Linked DNA regions of Caenorhabditis elegans. The protein of the gene in region 1 interacts with the protein of each later gene in a pairwise test. Each region holds a gene or a part of one and is shown on either strand. Other genes may lie near its edges. The genes, in order: txt-1, ZK688.9, txt-18 and Y74C10AL.2.

What was found.
Region 2: the proteins of txt-1 (region 1) and ZK688.9 interact in a two-hybrid assay, tested with the Caenorhabditis elegans proteins (one large-scale study listed by BioGRID).
Region 3: the proteins of txt-1 (region 1) and txt-18 interact in a two-hybrid assay, tested with the Caenorhabditis elegans proteins (one large-scale study listed by BioGRID).
Region 4: the proteins of txt-1 (region 1) and Y74C10AL.2 interact in a two-hybrid assay, tested with the Caenorhabditis elegans proteins (one large-scale study listed by BioGRID).

Annotation. Positions count from the first base shown.
Region 1 is NC_003280.10:104,488-107,996, forward strand, and holds txt-1 (PDZ domain-containing protein), read left to right. Parts: upstream 1-1,701; 5' UTR 1,702-1,770; coding exon 1,771-1,839; intron 1,840-2,043; coding exon 2,044-2,200; intron 2,201-2,248; coding exon 2,249-2,424; intron 2,425-2,894; coding exon 2,895-2,951; 3' UTR 2,952-2,998; downstream 2,999-3,509. Other genes in the region: col-68 (Nematode cuticle collagen N-terminal domain-containing protein), read left to right, coding at 56-134, 180-277, 336-386, 431-911, 955-1,235.
Region 2 is NC_003281.10:7,880,579-7,884,725, reverse strand, and holds ZK688.9 (TIP41-like protein), read left to right. Parts: upstream 1-1,725; 5' UTR 1,726-1,736; coding exon 1,737-1,901; intron 1,902-2,009; coding exon 2,010-2,291; intron 2,292-2,424; coding exon 2,425-2,541; intron 2,542-3,122; coding exon 3,123-3,205; intron 3,206-3,287; coding exon 3,288-3,486; 3' UTR 3,487-3,613; downstream 3,614-4,147. Other genes in the region: ZK688.11 (uncharacterized protein), read left to right, coding at 384-488, 533-699, 748-946.
Region 3 is NC_003280.10:6,342,443-6,346,057, reverse strand, and holds txt-18 (transcellular chaperone signaling (x)cross tissue), read right to left. Parts: upstream 1,987-3,615; 5' UTR 1,751-1,986; coding exon 1,736-1,750; intron 1,675-1,735; coding exon 1,443-1,674; intron 1,328-1,442; coding exon 1,174-1,327; intron 1,131-1,173; coding exon 1,024-1,130; intron 976-1,023; coding exon 701-975; 3' UTR 543-700; downstream 1-542. Other genes in the region: C32D5.8 (protein-disulfide reductase), read left to right, coding at 147-219, 2,353-2,638, 2,684-2,828.
Region 4 is NC_003279.8:2,468,256-2,473,821, reverse strand, and holds Y74C10AL.2 (Transmembrane protein 50A), read left to right. Parts: upstream 1-1,886; 5' UTR 1,887-1,894; coding exon 1,895-1,953; intron 1,954-2,759; coding exon 2,760-2,971; intron 2,972-4,654; coding exon 4,655-4,857; 3' UTR 4,858-5,029; downstream 5,030-5,566. Other genes in the region: abtm-1 (Iron-sulfur clusters transporter ABCB7, mitochondrial), read left to right, coding at 161-511, 1,318-1,404.

The DNA.
Region 1 (3,509 bases):
CTCAATTTCTTCGCCACTCTTGAAACTTGAAACTTTTCCCGATTCCAGAAGAACTATGGCTTCTGAATCGTCGCACGATGATCCAAAGTATGAAGCACAGGAAGCTGATGCAATGCGGAAGTTGGCGTTTTTCGGTGAGTTTACTCCATAGTAACAAAATGAATGCCTGAACTTTTAAGGAATTGCCATATCCACTGTTGCTACATTAACTGCAATAATGGCAGTCCCCATGCTCTACAATTACATGCAACACGTTCAATCTGCATTGCAATCTGAAGTATGTACTTGTTATTCTGAATTCGTGTTGTTATTATTATAATTTCTTTTTTTTAAAGGTAGATTTCTGTCGACACAGAACAAATGGATTGTGGGACGAGTACAATAAAGTAAGAGTTTTTTTTCGGATCAAAAGGAATTTTCTTTTATTCAGTTTGAATCTGTTGCGGGCGTCCGTAGACGCATCAAACGCGCGACATATCAAAAATCAAATGGAGTCACCGGACGTCTTGCTCATCGTCGTCGGGCAGTTGCTCGTGGCGCATCTAGCTACGATGGCGGATTTAATGAAGAAGTTCCAGTTGGAGGTGGTGGTGGTGGAGGAGCATGCTGCTCTTGTGGAGTTGGCCCACCTGGTCCATCAGGAGCTCCAGGAACAGACGGGAATCCTGGAAATGATGGGTCTCCAGGAAATCCTGGAACACCCGGACAAGATGCAGTAGGAGACGAATCCCCGACTGCTGCAGATTTCTGTTTCGACTGCCCAACAGGACCACCGGGACCACCTGGAAAGCAAGGACCTAAAGGACCAAATGGAGAACCAGGCGCTCCAGGAACTCCAGGAGGAAATGCACTTCCAGGACCACCAGGTCCCCCTGGACCTCAAGGTCCACCGGGAGCCGATGGATTACCAGGTACATTAGCATATTTGAAAAAATCTAACGAAAAACGTTTCAGGTAACCCCGGGGCTCCAGGTGTTCCAGGCCAAGTTATCGAAGTACCAGGTACTCCAGGGCCAGCTGGTCCACCAGGTCCTCCAGGCCCAATCGGCCCACCAGGACAGCCAGGAGCTCCAGGAAGTTCCCAACCAGGACCACAAGGGCCACCAGGAGACCCAGGAATTGATGGAGCTCCAGGAAATCCTGGATCTCCAGGAGAGCCTGGACCACCAGGACAACCAGGAGCTGGTGGTGGATGCGATCATTGTCCTCCACCAAGAACTGCTCCAGGATATTAATTTTCTGAACTTTAAGCCGACTGTATTGTCTTTCATAGCCCTATTTCTGTTCAACCGGTAGATTTATTCGATAAATCACAATTTTTTAATCATAATGAAAATTTATTCACGAAAATGATCACGTACTTGATCTCAAACTTGAGTTTCAGGTACTCCATGTGTAAAGTCATTTCATCAGTTTCAGTGGGTCTAGGTTTAGAGAAATATTGGTTTTATCAAAAAATTTTGACACAGTCACGTTTGGTGAATTTTCTAATTCAAAAGACAACTTTATTTTACTACCGGACCCAATCATACTCCATTATAAAATTACATACTCTTTATTAAAGTTCTCCACAAATTAAATCAAAATTTTGAGTGTTTAAAAAGCAAAAACTAATAAAAAATAAATAGAAAACCACGTCCAGTTTTTTAATAGATCACGCCACCACGTCACTGAAGTCTACATTTTCCGTAAAGAGCTTTCAATAAAATCATTTCAAAAATCAGAACAAGTAACGTGGTTCCTTCAACTCTTTCTCTTATTTTCAAAAAAATGAGCACTACAGGATCTGCACCGCCCAATTCAAAACTTAAATCAGTTGAGGACACGGATGATGATAGGGTGAGTAGACAGGGGTGGGTGGCAATTGCCGGTCGACAAAATTTTTGTCGGCACATTGCCGGTTTTTTGCCGATCTGCTAGAAATTTCCATTTCCGGTAATGTGCCAGTTGCCCGAAATTTTCATTAAAATTTTCATTTTGACATTGCCGATTGCCGCGCACCCCTGAGTATTAATGCTCTTCACATAAACATGGCTACTTCAGACTCTCGCTGAAGACGATCAAAACGATCAAAACTCTGGGAGTATGGATCACCGATTTGAGAGAATCAAGGTGACACTGATGATGACTCAGGGCAAGAAGTTCGGACTTGGAATAGTATCTGTTCATCAACGTATACTGGTCTGCAAAGTGGAAAATGGTTAGCGAATACTTTTATAGACTCTTTTCTAATTGGTAGACATTTCAGAATCTCTAGTAGCCGGGGTTCTCAAGTACGGAGATCAGATTATCGAGATTAACAAGAAAAACGTCTTAAACAAAATTGATTGTAAGAAGCGGTTGATGCAATGCCTCAAGGATAAAGGACAAGTTGATATTATCATTGTGCGCCCAAAGACTGCAGATGCTGTTACCATGATTGAAGTGAGATTGTGAATTTAACACAGGGGTGGGCAACAATTGCCGATTTGCCTGAAATTTTCAATTCCGGCAACTGACCGGTTGCCAATTTGCCAGAAATTTTAAATTCCGGCAATTTGCCGGTTTGCCGCCCACCCCTGATTTAACTTGACTGATTTTCGGCAGGAACACTTAAAACTGTGCCTTTTTGAAACGTTTTTTTCTTTTTTCTTTTATGTTCTCATAGAATTTGCTTACTTTTCAAAATAGATGTAGGAACATTCTTAGGATGTGTAAAACGTAGCCGAGCGTAGCCGATTCCGATTGAAATTGAAATTTTGAAATTTCCAAAAAAATTGCTGTTTTTCCGGCAAATTTGCCGGAAATTTTCAATTCTGGCAATTTGTCAATTTGCCGAAAATCTCAATTTCGGCAAAATTGTTTGCCGTCCACCCCTGATTTAACATGATTGATTTTTTAAAATTATTTTTCAGCAAGAAATTCAACTCTCGCAACAACCGAGCACTACTGCACAGCCAAAGATCAATTGAACTTGTATAATGAATAAAAAGTATAAGTACAGAATTAAAATTGAACTTTGGCCCCATTCCAGCAATAAATGTTTTGTAACAAATAATAATCCCCAGTCACAAAAATAAATAAGTTTTCCCCTTCCCCCCACTTTCACTTCTCTGGCTTTTCTTTTTCTGTTTCCGTTTCTCATCTAGAATTCCAAATTCCACGACATATTGTTTCTGTTGCCTAAAAAATGTGTATTGGTTTAGTGGTTAGTTTAATTTAATCAAGAATGGCGCCATAACATTCAAATCTTAAGCTGCAGCCAACAACAAAATGCATTGATGAGATTTAATCAAATTTCTCTGCTCTTATTTTTGTAGTTCTCATTCTTTAAAAAAATATTTTTAGCAACTTCACACACTTCAATTTCATGTGTTTTATAATATCACCCAATCCATTAATGCAGCTAAATATGGAGAAAGCGCTCGGCTTTTCTGCCTTGCCTGGCTGAAGCCTCAGGCGGCAATTAATGGAGCTCTGAGAGCAATAGAGAGATGAAAAAGTTAAAGCGGGCGTAAGAGACGCAGATG
Region 2 (4,147 bases), on another chromosome or scaffold:
TAACTCACATATATTTGATGAACTAAAAGCTGACCAGAAACTATTATTTTCTGCAGAGAGAGTGAAATTGTCGGGGACCAATAACCCAGATAAACCGTTTATAATATAGCCAAATGAAAATCAAATTTGTATAGGTTTCAACTCAGTTTGAGCAGAAATGCCAATTTTTTTAAGAATACAAATTCTACTCAATTTCTCATTCTAGGCAAATTTATAAATCTCAAATTTAAGTAGATCCACATCGAATTTGTATAAAGTTGAGCCGAATTTAAATTCATAATATAGGTATGAGCAGTTTTATATTCGTTGAAATCTATACAAACTCGCTTTGAATGGCTATTTAATAAACTTTTATCTGAGAAGTTTCATAAAGTTTATTTCAGAAAACCCGAGATGTAATTGAATCGGATCTTGTTAAAATGCGTGGCTATAAAAGGAACATAGGAAGTCGAAATCAAGAAATGACCATGAAAAATGTTGAAAAAAAGGTCTGAAAACTTATAAGCCGACCATAACCTATTAGTTATTACAGGTAGAGCAAATGGGAGCAAAAAACGAAGAAATGTTCTCCATGATTTCAAAAATTATGCAAAAACCAAATTCAACAGGGCATCTTCAATGGGATTCACAAACTCTTGCCGATTTAATGAACAAATCAGATAGTTTTGATGATGATCAAGAATCATTAAATATGCCGCGGTTAGCGAAATAGTGAGGTTCGAATTTTACTTAAATTCATCGTTTCAGCTCTTCTGAATCTTCTGCCATGTCAGTTCGTAATAGAACGTTAGAACGCCAATCGGAACCGGTTCGGAAATCTCCAAAAGCAGCACCAAAAGTTAAGAACGAGGCAGGAATAACAGCTTCTTATGTATTTTATCGATTTCTTTTCATGTTTATCGCAATCTTTGTTGTTCCTTTCATCACTTCGTATTTCAGACAATAAGGGTAGAAATGGTTCGAAAAAATTCCTTTGTGATATTCATTCAAGCTTTAATTTTAATTTTCACAATCGATCGATTAATCGACTTGTTTCCCCTTCTGTTCAGCTAGCTTAATGCCATTTTCATATGATCTTGCCGAATGTAGACTGTTCTTACAGTTGTGATACACTAAACAATTTTAAAATAAATTCTTCAGTTTCATGTTTTCAATTTTTGTAGATATTTTTGTAGACGCATTTTCCAATTAGCACTGCAAATTGGAAATGGCCTAGGAAGTTGCAAAATCTAGTCCCGCGACCGAATCGCTTTTGTACTGAATTATAAATTCGAATTAATTCATGAATTGGTTTCGTTGATCTTTCGCGTTTTTCGATGTTTTTTCGTTATTTTCGATGTAATTTTTTAATGAAAAATTAGAATAACTAGTAATATTTACCGGATAATCAAAAACCTCTGCGAAAATCGATCATAAGAGCAGAGAAAAGAAAAATACGTCTAAATTTTATCTATAAATTGGGCTTCTTGTTCAAAATATTTCGAAACTTTTTCCTCGTTTTCTAGAATAAAAATGATTTAAGCAGAAATAAGTTGCAATAGATTTTCCTTCAAATTCAGTAAAAAAATGAGTTTATTTTTGGGCAAAACGTAATTTTTCCGCGAATTTTAAAATTCTAAATTTTCTAGTGTTTAGTAAAAAACGTTTAGATATGAAAAAATTATGCTCATTCCGAATCTGTTGCAATAAACTTTTATTTTCACAGTAAAAACAGTTTTTTTCAGGTCACTTCAGAAATGTCAGATCGGAGAAGCATTGACGAGGTGATGGTGCGAGCTGCAAAAAACGCAAAACGAGAGGAAAAGTTCGATCTGGGATTTTTTAAATTCATTTCACTGGCTGGACACATTTTGGAGAGCTCCTGCAAGCATTCAGAAGATCAAGAGGATCCGAGTTGTTTGGTAGGGGAAAATTTCTGATTGAATAGTTTATTCGCAATTCTAAAACAACTTTTCTGCTAATTAACAACAAAATAAAAATGCTCTTGCCTAAATGTGTTCATTCAACAGAAATGCAAATATGACCGGGAGTTGAAACTTGAAGAGCGCCCGGAAATGGTATTCGCACGAAATTCTCTGACAATCCAGTTCGGTCGACTCGGTTCTATCGAATTCAACGCGCTGGATGCCCTCAAAATGGTTTGTGCGGATCGTCTGCCCGATGTAAAAGTTGGTGCGTCGACAGTATGGCAATCTGCAAGACAAGATCGGATTCAGCAAATATCGGAACATCAGAAGCCGTTTGACTGGACCTATACTACACATTACAAAGGAACTGTGACTGGGTGTCAGGTTAGTTTTTACTTCAAATATATGATATTTAATATTACCCCAAGTTAAAATTAAAAAAATCAGTTGTGTCAAGTATTTGGAGAAAAAAAATGAAAAGTAAAATTTCAGAATAAAAATTTGAAAATTTCTCCAGGTCACTCCTACAACTGAACGAATCGATATGGAACGACTGAAAAGACGCGACGAGATTTTGTTTTCATCGAGTATCACATTGTTTGAGGACGAATTGGCAGATCATGGAATCGCTCAGGTTTGTAATATTATTCAGATGCAAAATGTCCCGATTTTCGATCGAAAAGTAGGGTAGCCGGTCTCCAAGCGATCGATTCTCTATAAGGAGTACTGTAGTTATCAACATTTTATTGTTGTTTTCCTATTGTTTTCTGTTTCTTCAAAACTTGATGTATTTATATTTTCACATTTTTCAAAAAATAAAAAGAGGAATATAACTCATAAAATCACTCGACAATGAGGAGTTGGCAACTACAGTAAACCTAGAATCGCTTCAAGACCGGTTACCGTATTTTTAATGCGAAAATCGCAATATTTCGCATCTGGGTTATCATTTACTATATATAAAGCGCTTATTCCGTTTGTCCATAGTTTGTAGTCTATGTAGTCTTTGTAGTCTGCGAAGTTTTAGCTTCTGGAGGGATAGTGAGTTGGGGTTAGTGTAGGGATATAGTCGGCGTACTGTAGTGGTACAATGGTGGTACGGTAGGAGTACTGTATGATTACGGTAGTCTCAGAAAAATTGGTTTTCAGCTCCAGAAGTCGGGCGCCGCGCCGGAGGTGCGGTCCACGGCTGGTATAAATATATTCATTTTTCAGCTTTTGGCGCGAGTTCGTGTCATGCGCGGATACTTTTTTGTCCTTCTTCGCTTCTACATGAGAGTTGACAATGTTCTTCTCAGGTTGGCCTTTTTGAGAAAATTTATCTGCTATAGGAGAATTTGCTTCAAAATACCACAGAATAATAATTTACACAATTAACAGAGTATGTGACACCAGAATTGTTGGCAACGAATTCGATGGACATGTCATTCGTGAGTGGCAACTTCGAGAAGCAAAGTACGGGAATCTTGGTCACGTTGATCCGGAGGAATTATTAGATGTAGACAGAGCATGGATGCATCTTCCAGTTGTTGAAGAGCACTTTGATCGTGTATCAGTTGATCGTGAACGCCTTTTTTGAATTGTCTCATTAATATTTTCAAATAGATCTCTCCTTTTTTCCACTAACATTTCGATTGTTCCTGTTTTATTTCAATTTTCGTGATACTGGCTTAACGATTCGGAAATAAAAATTACGTTCGTTTGTCAAAATTTCGGAGTTTTAGAATTCATAAAACTATCTCCGATGAGAAAAATTAAAAACTATGAGAAGCTAGAAGCAGGCGCAAATTTGCAATTTTTGTTAAACAATACGGTGCCCGGTCTCAACACGACAAATTTTTGTGAAATGCAAAAAGGGAGCGCCTTTAAAGAGTACTGTATAGTTTATCTAACGATTTGTTAACACTGATGTATATATACAACACATGTACAACATTAGAAATACATAAATTTGAAAAACTCGGAATATCACTAAAAGTGTCTAAAGACGCACACCTTTTTGAATTCAACAAAAATTTGTCGTGTCGAAACCGGGTACAGTATTTTTAACGGTAAAATCGCAAAATTTCGCGAGAGCATATGTTTTCCTCTGGTTTCTCATGTAAAATGTGCAAAAAACCGAAACCCACTCAGATTTCAAATACACATACACACACTCATCTACACATTTCTTTTGTTGTCTTTTGTCTGGAGCTCACTTCATCCATCGAAATGACATTTGCTCCCCGCCCTTGATGCAA
Region 3 (3,615 bases), 6.2 Mb from region 1:
TTGAATTCATCACGTGTATGTTCTGCCATCTCTTCTTCTTCTTATTTTTTTCAATTTGATCGCAAAATTCGATCGAAAACGTGACCTTTACCTTTTGAACGGTGTATTCGTTATCTCATCGGTTTCCCCATCATTACTTGACTGTGATGGGGAACACGGCGAATTCGAATTCGAAACAACCAGCAACGAGTGCCGCGCAGATGTCGGTCGACCCAAAAGGTAGTGAAACACTGAAAAATTTGGCAAGTTTCTCAGCAGGTGACCTGATAAACACGAAAGTTGTTTCGTTGCGATCGGGTATTATACGTTTACTTTTTGATTAGTTGTACATGGTTGGTTGGTTAACATGGTTGGTTAACCAACCACCACGTCATCTTATTTTTTAGATATCAATTCCATAGTGTACGATGAAAGTCAGTCGAAAGTATAAGCCCAGTTTAGCATTCAAGTAAATTTTTCAATAACTAAGATACCGTTTTTATATGCTCACTAATGTTTCTTATATAGATCACACAATCAGAAGATATTCGGAGCATTTCGTAGTAACCTGTTCATTCCATGAAAAAAGTATTTGCGATCAAAAATTCAGTGGTTTCATATAGGAGAGACCATGATCATGAATAAACAAACAAGAGTGTCTCGCTTTCTAGTCATAGACTATCACTTCCAATCTATACTCTTTTTTATCATTCCTTTCAATTTATTTACTTTCTTCTTTCAACCTAGACTTTTCTTCTTCGATAAACTGGAATAATCGAACTTTGTGAAGCATCAACTTGTCGTTTGGCACATCTTCTAAAAAGTTTGTTACATAGGCTATGATGTCTGCGTGTTTTTCAGAAGTTGGTAGATTTGCTGTTGAGTTAGGTGTTTTTGCAGAGCAGGTTGAAGGAGCCGAAGAATTCAATTGTATACTTGTACAACTTGTAGATTGCTGACATGTAACCGTATCTATAACTTTTTGAAGCCAGTCATCTGAAAAATTACTTGTAATTTACATACACTTTAAATCACAGTTCAGACCATTCAACTTGTCTTCTGATAGCTCATGCTCAATCTTTGGCTTTTTTGCTTTTACTTGTTGATCATCGGCTTCTGCATTGCAAGTCGTTAATGTCAATTTTGACAAGCTGGAAAAAGGTTTCCGTTTCGGAAATCTAGATCATTTCATACCTGTCTGTTTTTTCCAAATAAGGAATAAGGAATTGTAGACAATCGTAGAACGGAACTATAGACTTGGACTTCTCATCATTCTTATCACCACCATTTCTAATCATTTTTTCAAAATCATTGAATAGGTATAACCATAACTTTTCGGCGTTTCTACCTGTAAGTTGATGTGGTGTTCATAAACATGTTTATTCCTGTTCACATGTTTACAGTCCAAATCAAAAACAGTCTTTCTCTTTTCGTAAATCACATTTTCAAAACTAAAAACTAACCTTTCCTCATTGCAAGAAAATGTCCACATTTTTTCTCTATAATATAAAACGCTTTCTGTCGAAAATCACTATTCTTCTTGCACGGACTGTATAATTCTTCTCTTCCAGAAAACAATGATATGAAAAAGTCGATGTCAGATCTTCTATACGCGTCATAATGTGAGAAAGGAGGGATCTTTGATGGTCGACCCATTTTTCGTTTCTGCTCCGCTGAGCCAAACTCTAGTAAATCCTAAATTTTTTTGATTTGGAAAACCACGTGAAAAACGTAGATCCTAGCTTTTCAGACTTACTATGAACTTCTCCATATTTTCAAAGCGGTAGAGACCAAATATTAGAAATAAAAGTGGAGAAACTTATGAAAATCGGGATCGCCAGATGTTATTAGAAAGTGAAGAAATGCTAAGAAAATATATGAAAGTGCGCAAAATTTGAGACGCAGATTTTAGAGCGTCGAGAAAAAGACTCGTTTCGAGCGACCCAGTTCAAAATCTCCAATTATTGTAAACTATTTCCTCCCTTCTCCAACATCTCTCTCAGTTTTGTCAGAGTGTTGTGTGTTGACAACACCAACAACTCCCCCCGTTTTTCGTTTTGATTCTTTCTTTTCATCACGAATTCAATTTACTGTAGATTGTCATACAATTCATTCCAATAATGAAATGGAAAACTAGTTCAAAATATTCAAAACCAACATCACTAAAAGTGAAAGATATTTGTTGATCTTAAAACAACACATGTTCCTCATACATTTCATCATAGAGATATTGACTCATCCTCCGCATCATCCTCATTTTCCTTAGTTTTTGTTCCGAAAGTTTCATATAAAAACCCTAGGACTAAACTCTCCTTGTCCCATTCTATCAATTTCTCAACTCTTATATTGATTCTCCAATATATATATTTTCAGGAAAGAACATGTCTCTTTTGGCTGGAGTGAAACTTGAAAAACGCGACAAAACGTTGGTCGACGCAACTGAAGCTCTAGCTGGAAAGGCCGTCGGATTCTACTTCTCGGCTCATTGGTGCCCACCGTGCCGCGGCTTCACACCAATTCTCAAGGATTTCTATGAGGAGGTTGAAGATGAGTTCGAGGTCGTCTTCGTCTCTTTCGATCGTAGCGAGAGTGATCTGAAAATGTATATGAGCGAGCACGGTGATTGGTACCATATCCCATATGGAAATGATGCCATCAAGTAAGTTATAACTCTATAAAATCCTCTTTAACTAGTTTTTTCCAGGGAACTTTCCACCAAGTACGGAGTTTCCGGAATCCCAGCTCTCATCATCGTCAAGCCAGACGGTACTGAAGTAACAAAGGATGGACGTAACGATGTGCAAAATGGAAAGGATCCAAAGGCCACCGTCGCCAAGTGGAAGGCTTAAGCCGAATCTGCCGACATAATTCTCTGCAATGCATCTTTCTCGATTTGTTCAACCATTTTGAAGCCATTCCCATCTAAACATCCATTTGCAATACCCATCTCTCCTATGATCCTAAAATATTTCTCTTTTGTATGGAAATTGGCAGTAAACAATAATAAATATATTTATTGATTCCATGCGATTCTTCATTTGTTTTTCAGTATATCAATTACGAATTGTTCTCTTCAAAAGTCAGTGTAAACAAAGGGAATGATGTGTGAACGTTTAATTGGTCAGTTGGAAAGATTTTAACTTGTCCATCATAGCTGACGTACAAGAAAACAATTGTTCTTTCTACGAAGGTTTTAAGATATTTAACAGCTCAAAAAATAATTATGACTACTAGAGATCTATAGATACTTGAACATAGTAAGCAAACACTCTTTGAAACCACAACATAATTCTGAAAATACCCTTTTTCAGACCACAAGAGTACATCACACCTTATCCGGTCTTTGTTGCCTTGACAACATCTTCAATCTCTTCTTTTTATTCACTATTTCCCTTTTGGATTTTGCTGCTCCATTCTTCTCCATTTGCGTCACAACACCACCTGCCTCTCGTTTCCGCCCATCTGACAATGTTTCTATTTCTCTTTCATTCACATTCCAAAGCTTCTAACGATTTTTTTCGTCTTTTCAGCTTATTACTTTTCCAAAAAAAATTAATAAAATGACGATAGCAGCTGCACACATTCAATCACCTTGTCTTCTTCGGTGCGCGGTGACTCGAAGAGTAGTCAGACCCC
Region 4 (5,566 bases), on another chromosome or scaffold:
CAAAACTTCACAACTCTTCCGAATTTTGTTTTTTTTTCAAATTTTTTCGGGCAAATCCCAAAAAATTAAAGTTTCACTTTTTTTTTCGAGCAGTTTTCAACTTTTTTTTTCAAAATTTCTCATTAAAATATGCTACTCCTAATTTTCGATCGATTTTCAGGGTTACGAGACGCTTGTCGGTGAGAGAGGACTAAAATTGTCTGGAGGAGAGAAGCAGAGAGTTGCAATTGCTCGAGCAATTCTTAAAAATGCTCCATTTGTTATTTACGATGAAGCCACATCTTCACTGGATGCAATCACTGAATCAAATATTATGAAAGCGTTAAAAGGAGCCGTCGAAAAACGAACATCTCTTTTTATTGCACATCGTCTGGCGACAATTGTCGATGCTGATATTATTTATGTGCTTCAAGATGGAAAAGTCGCTGAAAAAGGATCACATTTTGATCTTTTAGCGGTGGACGGGCTCTATGCACAACTGTGGAAGTCACAGAATATTCATGGAGTTGCGGTACGGTTTTTTTGTTGAAAAACCGTTAAAAATAGTTTTAAAAAATAAAAAATTGAGCCAGAAATGTCGGAAAATTGCAAAATTTGCTGTTAAAATTGAATTTTCTAGAAAAAAAAAGTTTTGGAAGTTTTTAAAAACTAGAAAAAGTTCAAAAAGAAATACACATCTTCTCCAAAAAATTCGAAAAACTAGTCGAAATTCAGAATATAAAAGTTTTTTTTAAATTCAGAATATTGTTTAAAAATTTTTTTGAAAAATTCGAATTTTGGCAAATTTATAAAGCTGGAAATTAATTTTTTCTGAAAATTTCCAAATAAAAACCGGAATTTCGAATAAAATGTCATTGCTTTTCTGAATTTTGAGAACAAAAAAATGTCTAAAAAAATGGCTAAAATTTCGAAAAATTCAAATTTTGGCGAATTTTTGAAGCTGGAAATTCATTTTTTTTTTCAATAGACAATTTCCGAACAAATTCGACCGCCTTTCTCAATTTTGAGCCCAAAAAAAGCCCGAAAAATGGCCAAAGTCAGCAATTTAATCCAAAAATAGCCAGAATAATGGCAAAAAAGCCCGAAAACTGGCGAAAAACTCAAAAAATTTTAGCCCAAATATGCCAGAAAAATGGCAAAAAAAGTAAACATTTTAGGCCAAAAAACCCCGAAAAATTGCCAAAAAGCCAGCAAGTTAAGCCAAAAAAAGCCCGAAAAAACTCAAAATTTTATGCCAAAAAAAACCCGAAAAATGGCAAAAATCCCAATTTTTTAGCCATAAAATCCCGAAAAATGGCAAAAATCCCAATTTTACAGCCAAAAAAGTCGAAAGAAGAGGACGACGATCTGATGCTTGAACTGGATCTTGACAAGTGTTGCGGAAGTTCCAGCTGCAATCGATAAATCAATTTTCTAACATTTTTTTTTCTTTTTATTTTCTAGGATTCCATTTATTTTTTTTTATTTTTTTGATTTGTTAAGTTAAATTTTCCTTTTTTTTTGCATTTTTTTCCCCTAAAAACACTTTTTTTATAAAATTTTTTTTTCTAGGATCGGGTGTGAAAATCTGTGTTCTTTGTTCTTTGTTCTTTGTTTTTTGCTGTAATTAGATCGTTTTCTAGATAATTTCTTTTTCTCAGTTCCCCCCGTTTTCTTAGGTTCCCTCATCACTGTTGCTCATGTCTTGTCCCCAAAAAAAATACTTGTTTCAATTTTTTTTCTTCAAAATTTCTCGATTTTCCATTTTTTTTTTCTCAAAAAAAAAAAATATTTCATTTGTTTAACTCAATTTTTTTTGTTGGAAGATTTTAATCGTTTTCTACATTCGATTTTTTTATATTTTTCAAATTTTTAACCCCATTTTTCCTCCTAATTTCCAATTTCAGAGCGAGAGATGTCTGGCTGCTTTGACCAGATTCGATGCAATTGCTCGTTTGATTTGGAGGGGCGTAGGTGAGGAATTTTCGATTCAAAAAAAAAATTGAAAATCCGTCAATTTTGAAAATGTCCTCAAAATTGTGAAAAAAAATCAATTTTACAAGTTTTTTTTTTAATTTTAAAAACTCTGAAAATTGAAGAAAAAAAATTCAAAAAGGATTTTTAAATTGCAAAAATAAATATTTAACTCAATTTTTATAAAATTCATGATTTTTGAACTTGTAATTTCGAGTTTCCGCAGTAAATCAAAAAAAAAATCTAATTTCAAACATCAGAATAATTGAAAAAAAATTGGATTTTGGAATATTTTTCTCAATTTGGGATGCTAAATTCAAAAAAATAGAAAATTAATTTTTTTCACTAAAAACAGCTAATTTCAATAGAATGAAATTTTAAAAAATTAACAAAAAAATAAGAGGAAAATTCAAATTTTTCTTTTAAAAAAAATCGAAAAATCATTGGAAATTAGGTAGTAAAATAAACGAAAGTTTACCTTTTTTTCGAAAATTTATTTAAAGAATTTAATTAAAAACATTCAAACATCTGATAAATTTTAAATTTTCGAATTTTATTCCTAAAAATTACTAATTTTTTTTGGCAAAAATCGACGAAATTTGTTAGTTTTATTCTAGAAATTGATAAAAAATTCCAAATTTTTACGTTTCTTTATGGAAAAATGTCTTAAAAATTGGCAAATTATGTCTCAAATTAAAAAAAATAAAAACGAAAAAAATTAATTTTAATAAAATTTTATTTCAAAAATTGCGAATTTTCGAGCAATTAAAAAAATTAAATTTTAATCAAATTCCAAATTGTTCCAGAAACGCCGTTGCCTCTGTCGTCTCTGCTGCACTGTTCTTCATTGGCTGGTGGCTGATGATCGATACGGCGGCAGTTACCAATAAGGAAAATTGGACAAATGTCTACTTTATCATTACAGTTGCAAGCACAGTTGCAATGTTCATGGTTAATGCTATTTCGAATAGCCAAGTTCGTGGCGAGAGCCTCCATGAGGGACTTCTTGGGACAAAAGGTGCTTTGAAGCGAAAAAAAAAGAATTTGCGGAAAAATCTGAATAAAAAAAAGGGAAATTGCATTAAAAAAATCGAAAATATTTTTTTAAAAAATTTTTGTTTTGAAAGCTGAAGCCAAAAAAAATTTTTAAAAAAATCAAAAAAGCGTTCGTTTTTTTTCAAACTTTTTTGAATAATTTGACAAAAAAGCGTTGAAAAAATTTGAAAATCGAAAGTTTCAATTTAAATTTTAAAAATCACGAAAAAAAATATTTAGACGATAAGAGCTATGAATTTTTCAAAAATATCCTGTTTTTAATTGAAAAAAATTGAACATTTCTTCAAAAAAAATAAATGAGCGGAATTTTTCCCAAAAAGTTAGATTTTTGAAAAAAAAAATTTTATTAATTTTTTTGTTGTTTTTACTTCGATTTTTTAGAGAAAACAATTTCACAAGACATCAAAAGTGTGAATTTTTGTGAAAAAACTGGCTATGAATACGTTTTTCAGAAAAATCAAGAAAAAATTTCCAATGAAGTTGTAATTTTTTGAAGAAATTTTCTACAAAATGACGGTTTTTTCATTAAATTTAACATTTTCAACTTTTTTTCCCCGATTTTCACTGAAAAACACTACAAAACTTTTATTAAAAATTGAAAAAAAAAACTGAAAATTCCTTTCAGAAAACTATCTTAATTTTTTCATTAAAATTAAAAAAAAATAGTTTTTCTGAAAAATTTCGTATTTTTGATAGTTTTCCGTTTTTTTGGTTTTGAAATTTTTATTCCAGAATTTTTTATATTTTCAAAAAGTGAAATTTTTCTTGTTTTTGAAGAAATTTGTTGATTTTTCCATAAAAAATTGGATATTAAAAAAAAATTATAGCTCACTTTGATTTTTTAAATTTAAATTTAAAAAATTCAACAAAAAAAATAAAAAAGCGAATTTTGTTTAATTTTTTCCAATTTTTTGAACAAATTCCAGTAGTTTTTCATATTTTTCGAAAAAAAAGTTTCCAAAAAATCAGAATAAAAACGACGAAAATCAAACAAAAAGTATTTATTTTTTTGAAAAAAATTGATTTTTCCATTAAAACTGGATATTTTTGGAAAATTGCTTTTTTTTTTAATTTTAATTTTAAAAAATTTTCAAAAATTTTCAAAATTGTTTTTCAATTTTTCAACAAAAAGAATATTTTTTTCCCAAATTTTTGTATAAAAATCTGGGCATTTTATATATTCTCGATTTTTCGAAAAAGTTTCCAGAAAAGTTCATAAAAAATTTTTCCAGGATCTCGTCTCTGATTGATGGCTTTTTTTTTCTCTAAAAAATCGGAATAAAAACTAAAATCAAAAGAAAAATTAGAATATTTTTGAACTTTTTTTTGTTGAAAAATCCCACATTTTTTTGGATTTTTAAAATTTAAATTATGTTTTTTTTTTCAAAAAAAAAAAGTGAAAATAAATCTTTGAAAAAAAAGTTTTAATTTAAATTTTAAAAAATCGATTAAACATATTTAGACGATAAGAGCTATGAATTTTTCAAAAATGTCCTGTTTTTAATTACAAAAATCGAAAATTTCTTTTCAAAAAAAAAAAATTACAGGAAATTAGAACAGCTTTTGGAATTTTTAAAATTTAAATTAAATTTAAAAAAAAAGCGAAAAAAAATTTTTTTTTCAATAAAAATTCCACAATTTCCAGGATCCCGTCTCTGGTTGATGGCCGCCTTCGTCGTCTCGTTCGCCTCTCTCGTTGCCGCCACGTGGATTCTCTTCTCGGACTATGTTCTAATTCAAGGATCTCACAGTGTCTGGCCAGGCGTTGCCCTTTTCCTCACCAACTTCATAATTTTCGCTTCCTCATGTGTCTACAAATTTGGACGTACCGAAGAGATGTGGGGATAAGCGCGGATGCTCCTGGATTCGGATTTTATTCTCGAAAAAAAATTCAAAAATTTTCTCTTTTTTTTCATATTCCACTACTTATTCGTCATTTTCCTTGTCCATTTCCCTTATTACAGTACCCCATTTTACGTACATTTATAACTTATATTTTTTCTGTAAATACATAGTAATTCTTTGAGCCATTATCTAAAGTTTCAGCGAAAAAACTGGAAAAATCGGTTGAATTTTTCGGGGAAAACGAACAAAAAAAATTTTTTGGGCCGAAAATTGACAAATTCTTGATTTTAGATTTTTCCTTCTCAATTTAAAATCGAAAAAAATTCCAAAAAAAGCTGAAAATCGCAAATTCCTTTTTTTTCTGTTTTTGAGTCAATTTTTGTAATTTTTCGGCTAAAAATTTTGGCAAAAAATGCCAAAATTTTCTGAAAAATCCACAAAATCCCCCATAAAATTTAGATTTTTTCCAAAGAAATAGCTTTTCACCAAAAATATCTTTTGAATTAGAGTTTCAAAAAAAATCTAGAAATTTTCCAATTCTCCCTTTTCACTGAAAGGGAGAATTTCGAAAATAAATTTTTTTTTTCGCGAAAAAATTCGTAAAAATTGCGATTTTTTGTTGCAAAATTTTATTTGTCTCCAAATTTTATTCCAATTTTTGCAAGAAAAATACACCAAAATTCCGAAAAATTATGTAAATTTCCATTTTTCC